Arabidopsis thaliana: one gene and its partner. The protein of the gene in region 2 interacts with the protein of the main gene of each other region in a pairwise test. Each region holds a gene or a part of one and is shown on either strand. Other genes may lie near its edges. The genes, in order: SPK1 and ARAC9.

Evidence for each region.
Region 1: the proteins of ARAC9 (region 2) and SPK1 interact in a two-hybrid assay, tested with the Arabidopsis thaliana proteins (one study listed by BioGRID).

Annotation. Positions count from the first base shown.
Region 1 is NC_003075.7:9,238,541-9,243,701, forward strand, and holds the start of SPK1 (guanyl-nucleotide exchange factors;GTPase binding;GTP binding protein), read right to left. Parts: upstream 3,090-5,161; 5' UTR 3,057-3,089; intron 2,860-3,056; 5' UTR 2,521-2,859; coding exon 2,443-2,520; intron 2,367-2,442; coding exon 2,204-2,366; intron 2,124-2,203; coding exon 2,032-2,123; intron 1,940-2,031; coding exon 1,827-1,939; intron 1,737-1,826; coding exon 1,681-1,736; intron 1,588-1,680; coding exon 1,490-1,587; intron 1,361-1,489; coding exon 1,223-1,360; intron 981-1,222; coding exon 669-980; intron 31-668; coding exon 1-30. Other genes in the region: CBL6 (calcineurin B-like protein 6), read right to left, coding at 3,965-4,040, 4,119-4,231, 4,323-4,456, 4,538-4,646, 4,718-4,777, 4,862-4,932, 5,012-5,129. UniProt on the Arabidopsis thaliana protein: Guanine nucleotide exchange factor (GEF) for Rho and Rac. GEF proteins activate small GTPases by exchanging bound GDP for free GTP. Controls actin polymerization via the two heteromeric complexes WAVE and actin-related protein (ARP) 2/3.
Region 2 is NC_003071.7:18,427,111-18,431,624, forward strand, and holds ARAC9 (RAC-like 9), read left to right. Parts: upstream 1-2,010; 5' UTR 2,011-2,165; coding exon 2,166-2,300; intron 2,301-2,385; coding exon 2,386-2,473; intron 2,474-2,718; coding exon 2,719-2,828; intron 2,829-2,928; coding exon 2,929-2,992; intron 2,993-3,097; coding exon 3,098-3,162; intron 3,163-3,257; coding exon 3,258-3,323; intron 3,324-3,424; coding exon 3,425-3,526; 3' UTR 3,527-3,772; downstream 3,773-4,514. Other genes in the region: CKB4 (casein kinase II beta subunit 4), read right to left, coding at 90-255, 326-435, 521-739, 834-1,056; AT2G44700 (Galactose oxidase/kelch repeat superfamily protein), read left to right, coding at 3,905-4,514. UniProt on the Arabidopsis thaliana protein: Inactive GDP-bound Rho GTPases reside in the cytosol, are found in a complex with Rho GDP-dissociation inhibitors (Rho GDIs), and are released from the GDI protein in order to translocate to membranes upon activation.

The DNA of each region.
Region 1 (5,161 bases), on a different chromosome or scaffold from region 2:
AACAGGTTTGTGAACCTTCCGTTTGGGGTCCTGTAAAAACCAAAGAATAAATTATTAGACATTAGCACATTAGGAGATTCCGTATGTCCAACTGATCAAGACAGTTTAAAGAGATTTTAGATATGTATTTCCTCCAGATAAAAGCAGCAATATACAGTAAGATGTTATATCAATAAAAAGCATTCCAGTTATTTGTCTGATGACGTTACCAAACACGATTCAGATCTGAATTTTTTTGTGTGAGTAAAAGAAGAGAGAGCTCGGAAATCTTGTTTTCTTGTGATGTATTTAGTAATATACTTATAACTAACTACACTTCAGAAGGGAAAACAGAAATGAAGAACTTCTATTCCTCAAAACTTATGAATTAAACACCATGACCTAATTGTCAAATGCTACCAAAATTGATTCATTCAAATAGAAAACAAAAAAAAACTGTTATCAATTAAATACAGAAGTATTTTGTCAATCGACTGTGCATGCAACTCTACTTGCTTAGATACATATCCAGTTCAGGAAAACCCAACCAAAGTGTACCTAGCAAGTAGGATTTTCAAATTGAACAAAATCTATGAAAAATGTTCCACACCATGTGAAGTTCAAAGCACTGTAAATACAATCATAAAGAACATGGTAAAAACTGTGGGATTTGATAAGAAACATCCTACCTGAATGGACTCTTCAGAGTAGCTCTCTTTAACTTTATTTAAATTAGATATTTCAACTACGACAGAACTTCCACCTGAATAACCTTGCTTTCCATCTGATGTGATCTTTGCAATTGGTTCATAAACACCATCATGGGAACTTGACGCAGTCATACTAGGAGCAAGAGGACTGCTAGGGGAAGCAGATTCACCAGTGTTTGTGGTGAGATTATTATCAAAAAGCGGAACAACTGCCCAAGCAAAAGACTCTCGGTAAGGCATAATGCGAGACCAGACCTGCAACTTTTGCTTTTCCCTCTCAGTTAAGTGCACCTGATTCACATAAATAGGGTAATTACTAATTGTTATATCAAGATCCAGCTATCACCATGACTACTCTAAAATATATATCAAAACAAAGAGTAAAGACAGATGATATATGCCATTATAAGTCACAGGCTATCTCCAAGTTACTCCAAATAAATGTTGAAAGACACAATCTCTAAGACCAAGGCATTCACATGAGCAAGAGACTCTAGAGACAGTAAGGGAAAATTCAGGATTTTGGAAATTACAGGCTCTTTACGGGAATAGACAGATGATGTAACGCCTCCTTCCTCAGTTGCTGTTTTTTCTAATTGAATAAGCAGGCAAACTGATGCTGATGGGGCATCTAGATAAAATACTCCACGATTTTCAGATGAAAGTTTAGCCTGCAAGAAAATGTACAAGGGGCGGCAATTTCGCAAAAATGACGTGAGAAAAAACTGAAATCACCTTTTATATAATCATGAGAAGGGAAGAGGCAAAAAGAGGACAGTTGGCTCTAATCAGTTACTTACATCCTGCATTTCCGTCGGCTGAATCTGGAAATAAAAATCCTCAGAGAGTTTCTCCTTCCTCTCTTGATTGTACAATGCAATCGAGCCAAAAAATGGTTCTGCAGGGATGCAAGAGAAATAAAGAAGGAACTTAAAGAAGTTGAAATAACTAAAATTACAGAAAATAGACAGCAGTTAGTCAGAATCCTCACCAACTAAGCCAGACTGAAAAGCTAGAGACAAAACTCTGACAGAGATCTTCAATCCACTGTGAAGATAATAAAGAGGAACAGAAGTACAAATCAGACAAAGATAATAAGATCAGGTAAAGCATAGTGACATGCAAAAAAAAAAAAACCTGGAATAGCTAGCTGCAGGAGATTCAGGAGTTCTCTGACCAAAAATCATAGCTCTTTCATTTTCCCAGTCAAAAGCTGGTTCATAAGCAGGTAAAGGAGGTTGCCCAAAATGCTGAAAAAAAAAAAAAAAAGCAACACCTTCAAAGTAAGAACCAAAGGATGAGAAATATATAACAGAGCAATGAAGTGAGTAAAAGAAGACACCTTAGAGGATCCAGGATCAGAAAACGGCCTCCCGGAAATACTGGCAACATCCTCCTCAATAGTTGCACTCCTGGCACTAGCAAGACGAATCTCTGAAGAAGCAGAGAGTTAATTGATGTACAATAATTGACAAAAGCAAAAAAAATAAAAATAAACAATGCATCATAGTTACCAGTCTCAGTATCAGTATCAGGTCCTTCAAAAATCTGAGTCTGGAAAGAATCAGGTCGAATATTTTCATAGTGACCGTATTTGTTAACATCTTTAACCCATTCAGTGCCATAACATTGAACCAATTGATTCAAATGTGGCCATTGTTCCAGATTCTCATCAAGCTGAAACAAAAGAGAAGAAACACATTAACGAAAAGAGAGAGAAAACGCGAATAAAGGTTGAGGAGAGTTTAATTACCAAAGGATCGAGCTTAGGGAGAGCAAGAGGCTGACGAGGTAGCTTACGAAATCGAAGACCAAGATTGTTGTTCTCCATTGAGATAGATCTAATACAATGTGAGGTACTACTACGCCATTAGAGAGAATTGGGGATTTGTGAAAACCTAGAAATGGGAAAAGGACATTGTTGGAGTAGTAAGTAGATCTGAGTGGGGGAGCTAAAGGAGGAGAGGAGGATGAATCTTTGTCTTTACGCAGAGAGGAAGAGATCCGTGAGAGGAAGCAGTTGGGAGAAAAAGTGAAGATTACTCAAGAGGAAAGCAAAAGTCGAGCTGGAGCTGTAAGTCCAACAAGAGTCCAACTCTACTGTCCCTTTTTTCTTTTTAAATAACAAAAGAGTCAATCATTGGGACGACCAAAGACGATGATACCTCACCTGAACCAACTTAAAGAATTGGAGTAAGTAGTAACCATTTTCACCAAAAGTCATTCCAATTCTCATTATACCAAACAAAATGGAATTAGAAAGTATACGGCTAAAGAATTTAGTTGTCACACTTTATTGAAATTAGGATTGTTGATTTGTTTCTACGGATTCATGTTGAGATAAACCGTAAACGAGTTCATAGTTACCTTTGGTATCTATGAATCGGTGAATCCCAATCTTTAGCCATTGTTTCAGAGTTGTTGCCATTATAGTCTACCATTGCGGCCTTTTTATATATCATTCATGTTAGCATTAGGGTTATAATTTCTAAAAATTGATCACCTCTTTAACTTGTGCCTAGAATGTTAGGCAGACCCAGCCAAAAAATTAAGTGGGTGAAAAAACGTTACACTGGTTAACATAATTATTGGGCTTCGTGGCTTCTCTCTCGTTGACGGAGAACTTAACGGTGTGTGATTCCAAGTCGGATTAGAACCTCCGTTATATATCAATGGGAGTTTTGGCCGCTTGTTGCTGTTGAGTTGTGTTGTCTTTGATTGAAACGACGGCGTATACGTCCATTTTGTCCGTGACATATTCGATATGGTTGACGTCACTAGCTGATACAATTTTGAGCTCAAGAGTTGGGTTCTCCACGGCTCTTTGCAACTGTGATGAAGATATTTTCGAGAGATCTAGTATTGTTTGTTCTAATCTTGGGAAAATGTCCAAGTATACAATGATCTATGAGATTCAAGTTAACCAGTTTCTCATTCACATGAATCTTTCCTTTCTCATGTTAAAACTATCTCGCCATTTGGGTTCCCTGTAAAATATGGTTGTCCGGATTTTACTCCAACTAACAAATTTAGATAGAAAGAAAGAAGAAGCAACAAAATAAAACTAATGCCGAGTAAAAGAATCAATTTGCACACTCCAACAGATAAGATAAACCGAACAAGTTTGCGGATACACAAACATGTGAGGTAATGCTGCTTTCAGAACGTATTTATTAAAAATAAAGAGGAGGGTTGTAATAGAGTAATGGAGAAGAAGATAAGAATCAAGTATGAATGATCTTGTAAAGGGTTTTGGTCTTTCTTCACATCCCTGATCATCCATCCAGCTCACTAGGAGTGTCTGTCACTATAGTGTGAAATACAAAATTTGGAAACGTCTTTGTTACGTCTCTACACAAAACACAACATACAAAAACATGTTAGTCCCGCACGAAGAAGATAATAAGGCAAATAACATGGCTAGCTTACTTGAGATGTTGAAGGCTCATGTTCTGTAACAGAGAGGGGTGGCGCAACACAAGACTCCTCCACTCTTCCTTATCAATCTTCCCGTCCAGTTTAGTATCAGCTTCTTCAAATGTCTACACACACCAATCAGTTTTTACATCTCTTGTCAAAGATTAAATATGAGAATCCTAGTTAGTGTCAATGGAGGAGATCAACCAAACCCACCTTGTCTATGATGCTCTCAATCACATGATCAGAAAGGTTCATGCCAGATTCAGCTAGAGTCCGCACAACCATTTGCTTCACCTCCTGTCTCTTTATATAACCTTGCTGATTCAGATCATACAGCTTGAAAGAGACTGCAGAGACAAAAGATGAGCTTGATCCAAGGTTTGGATATGACAAAAAAAAAGAAGGTCAAGTCTCTCTCGACCACTTACACTCAATCTTATCCTCAAATTTAGCATTAGGGTGAAAGACCGAAAGTGAACGAGCAAAGGCTTCAAAATCTAGAATCCCAGTATTCTTGGTATCAAACAAGTCAAACACCTGCAAAGCTTGAAGTATGAGTGTACAGCAAGGAAACTCATATAAGTGAGTTACAAGTCTATCTAATTTACCCTATCAGCAAAAAGGCTTCTCGTTGTGTTCATTTTGAATAGTACCAATTGAAATTGTTCCTGCAATATATTTGAAAGGATCCTAGTGAATGTAGAGGAACAGAGAGATATAGTACTCGTGTCCGACTATGGATTCTTGCATACCTTGTCGATAAGCCCGTTTTTGCTAATGCTCTTGAACAGTTCGTAAAGAGCTTCAATCTCATTCACTGTAACTGCATTTGGTACATAAAGCCATTGTTGGGGTTGTGACAAATAAAAATAGTAAAAGTAAATGTAGGGGTAGACACATACACACAGTGCCTCTAGCCACATCCTTAGGGTTCTGACGAACCTTGGGAGGATCAGCATCACAACAAGTCAACAGAATTAAGGCTAAGTGCTTTAATCCATCTAAACATTGCATCATCATCTCTCCCAAAAGTCACTATGTCCATGCCTACC
Region 2 (4,514 bases):
CTAGCTAATCGCAATGTTTAACCAAACAATAGCAGATGCATCATATTATGACAAGATAAAGCTTTTTTGAACAGAGGAGCAAAGGATACTGCCTTGGTATTTAGATCGCGGGTAGTAAATATCCTCGCATTTTGGGCAGTATATCTTCACAGTGCTCGACCTCGGGATATCAGATTGGCCAACCGGAAGACAAGACTGTCCGCAACAGAAAACTCTGGGGCATCTCCCGAAATCATAATTCTTATACTTCTCCATCTACAAAAGAGAAAGATATCATTCAAAAGATCAATCAGAAACAAAGATGTAGAAGAAGTATCTTGCTTACCATAGCAGCCATTCCTTTAGTAGTGAGAATATAACGAACATGAATAAGACCATATAACATCTCAGCAGCTGATTCCACCATCTCATGCTGTTCTTCAGTAAACATATCACCTAATCCAATAAACATTCCTCCAAATTATACAACAATTCTCAGACAAAGTAAAGCCTAAATTCATCAAATGGACCCTTCACTTACCATTTGATGATTCAACATCTAAAATGAGATCAAGTGCATAATCATAGTAAGGAACTTGACCACTCAAACCACAGAGATTGAAATCATCTTGTATATAATCTTCATCTACTTCACAGAAAAACTCATTCCCTCTCAAATTACAAAACCATGAGATCCAAGAGGTATCATCACCTTCTGAACCACTCACATCTGATCCTTCACTATCCGTGTCAGATTCAACTGCATCCACAAAGAATCAAAATTTATTAATACCCAAATCAGAAAGTACTAAAACCACATGAAATTGAAATTGAGTGAGATATAAGCAATTAACCATCGGGGGAACGAGAATGAAGCTGAGATTTAGCAGTTGAAGTAGAAGGGACAGAATCTTTGTCCTTAGAAGTGAAAACCCTAGATGTAGAAGGTGAAGATTTCTTAAGATGTTTGTCTAAAGCATCATTGATTCGTTTCCGATCAATAGCTCCACCAAGGATCTCCGATCTCGATGATCCACCACCACCCATTATTCCTCCTCCACTCCGATCCTTGTACATAACTCGATTCGATTCCCTCAATGAAAAAAAACAAAATTTTTCAGCTTTAGATTCTCAAAGTCTTCGACTTTCTTATCATCAGAGGAAGAAGAGGGGCGGATAAATCTAGGGTTTGTTTTTTCTTCGATAGTTTGATCACAGAGTAGAAGAAAGAGAGAAGAAGAGATAAAGAGTGCTCTGCTTTTCCCTGTGGTTTTTTCTCATTCTCTACTGTTTTGTTTTCTTCTCTTTGTTTTTTTTTTTTTTTTTAATCATTGTTTAATTTTTTAAAATTCTAGTATTTAGAAATGGGCTTTTCGGATGGGCCTTATGACACTGACAGTTGTAATACAAAGATTCACGTAGAAGGAAACATTTTTTTGTACTTAAACTATGATTCCAAATTATATCTTAGGAAGAAAGAAATCATAAAATTCATTTTTTTTTGTATCAACACGGTAGTAATAATGGACTTGCCTTTCCATCTTTGTTAATGATGATGTGTTTGGTGGTCGATCCATTGTCCAAACTTAAATCGAAAAAAAAAACAAATGATCTAGAGATAATTAAAATTACACATCTTGTAAAATTAGTCATGTAAATGTAACTGAATTTACAAAATTTGATTTGATATAACCACCACTTATTTTCATTTTGCTGAAACATTTGGACCTTTGCATTTGCATTGATTGGTGAAAAAAACAAAGCACTATAATTTGTACAACTTTCATTTCTACCAATTATAATTTTTTTTATCAAAAGCGTTACTAAAAGATTTTTCTCTCAGCTTTTTTATACATTTTTTTTAATATAACTGTTTTTTAGTAATTTTATACTATTTCAAAAAAAGTTAACAGATAAAAGTTATGTACAGCTATGTGTTACCAATTAGAGTTTTTTTGGAAAGAAGTAAAATATGGCAAAATCTATCTAAATTCAAAAAATAGGAAAGAAATCAAACCCACCGAATAAAAAATTATTTTTAAGGCGTTTTGGCTCTCTGACAGCTCAAATTAAAGTTGACTCCTTTTTTACCACTCAAGTCTCATTCTCATTCTTCACTTGAACCAGAATAAAACCACAGAAAGAGAGAGAACAGGGTAAGTAAAATCAGAGAATTTTCTCAATCAATGTCAGCTTCAATGGCTGCAACATCAACATCATCAGCAACAGCTACAACGTTTATAAAGTGTGTCACTGTTGGCGATGGAGCTGTGGGCAAAACTTGTCTTCTTATTTCCTACACCAGCAACACGTTCCCCACTGTATATAAATCCATCTCTCCCTCTCTCTCTTTTGGATTGCTTTTCTTGATAGCTTTTGGTGACTGTTGAGATCTTGTTATTACAGGATTATGTTCCAACAGTGTTCGACAATTTCAATGCTAATGTTTTAGTCGATGGTAAAACTGTCAATCTGGGTCTCTGGGATACTGCTGGTAAATGCTTTTACCTAATGTCAAAGTTGTTCTTGTCTTTAGCTTTATATCTACAACAATATGTCAAGGTCTAATCTTTTGGTCCTTTTAAAAGAAGTCAGTTGAAAAATTTGAATCTTTGATGCAACATTGTTTTGGTTCTTGAATTCACTATCAGATTTTGCTCATGTTTCTTCAAAACTTAAATGAGACCAATTATGATTCTTGTGTTATATATCTTTTGGGTGATTCACATTATATTACAGGTCAAGAAGACTACAATAGGGTTAGACCATTGAGTTACAGAGGAGCAGATGTTTTCATTCTTGCCTTCTCACTTATTAGCAGGCCTAGCTTTGAGAACATTGCTAAAAAGGTTGAGACTTGAGATTATCTTTCCTTTTACTTTTAATTTCACTGTAATTTAACTTTACAACACTGATCTCATGTGCATATGGATCGGTTTTCTTTCGCAGTGGGTACCCGAGCTGAGACATTATGCCCCGACTGTGCCTATTGTTCTTGTGGGAACCAAATCAGGTTGAAGATAATGAACCACTCTGTTATGTCTTGAATGTTAGGAATCTAACATCAATGTGTAAGTGATGTTATGTAGTATATAAGATGAATTTCTTGATATTGCAGATCTAAGAGACAACATGCAGTTCCCAAAGAATTATCCAGGTGCTTGCACAATCTTCCCAGAACAGGTATGTTTTTTTAAAGATTCTTCTTCAATGTATATGATCAAGAACCATGTTAAGAATCAAACTCTTTTATAACTCAAAGATTGCTTCTTTTATAGGGTCAAGAACTAAGAAAGGAAATAGGAGCATTAGCATACATAGAGTGCAGCTCAAAAGCACAAATGGTAAAGTAACCATTAATGCTTGAGTTACATTTTACAATTAGACCAAATATTTTGGACCTCAATCTGATAAAGAAAGACTTATGATGATGCTAAATTTGCAGAACGTAAAAGCCGTGTTTGATGAAGCGATCAAAGTAGTTTTACATCCTCCTTCAAAGACTAAGAAGCGAAAGAGAAAGATCGGTTTATGCCATGTTCTTTGACTAGTGTACTCAAGTCTCTGGCTTTGGTTTGTTTTACATCTTTTTTAGTGTGTTTCTTCTATGAAGGACTCTTGCAGATTTTAGTATGATTAGCTATCTTCGTTATAAAAGTTTGATCTTGTAGTAGAGATTCTTGTAACAGAATTATAAGCGAATTCTCGTCTATCAGTCTATGTAAAAGAACAATGTTTGTCTTCTTTGAGTTCAAGAGACAACAACAAAGAACCGTTTTAGCGCAAAAAGAAACAAAATAAACCGATTGAAACAGAATCGAAGAATAAATAAACCGGGTTTTGTTTTTTGGCTAATAACCGAAACCGAAATAGAATAAATCAATAAAATCTCAATTCTCTAGTCTTCTCCTTTAAACTAGAGTCGATGTCTAGCTCCAACGAACCACCGCGAAAAACCGACCAACCATCGTCGTCATCGGCATCGGCATCGGCATCGCCGTCATTGTTTTTGTCACTGCCACTGGAAATCATTTCGATGATCTTAGCCCGCGTCCCAAAACGATATTACCCAATCCTCTGCTCCGTCTCCAAGAACATGCGGAGTCTTGTTCGCTCGCCTGAAATTCACAAGGCTCGATCTTTACTCGGAAAAGATTATCTCTATATCGGCTTCATCGACGAAAATTATCGCCCCGTATACGACTACTGGTACACTCTCCGGAGAATCGAGAACAGTACGACCGAGAATCTCTTCGAATCCATTGAGTTCCCTTATCCTTCCGAGCCTAATCGATTTTCCATGAACGCCGTTGGTCCAAAGATCTTCTTCATTTCAGAATCTTGTACTCCTTCATCAAGACTTTCGATCTTTGACACCCGATTTGGGGAGTTGCGTCAAGGACCTTGTTTGCTAGTGAAGCGAGGGTACAATTGCGTAGGACTAGTCGGCGGTAAGGTCTATGTGATCGGAGGCTATCAGGACGACGAGATTGCAGCGGAAAGCTTTGATCTAAATACGCAAACTTGGGAAGCAG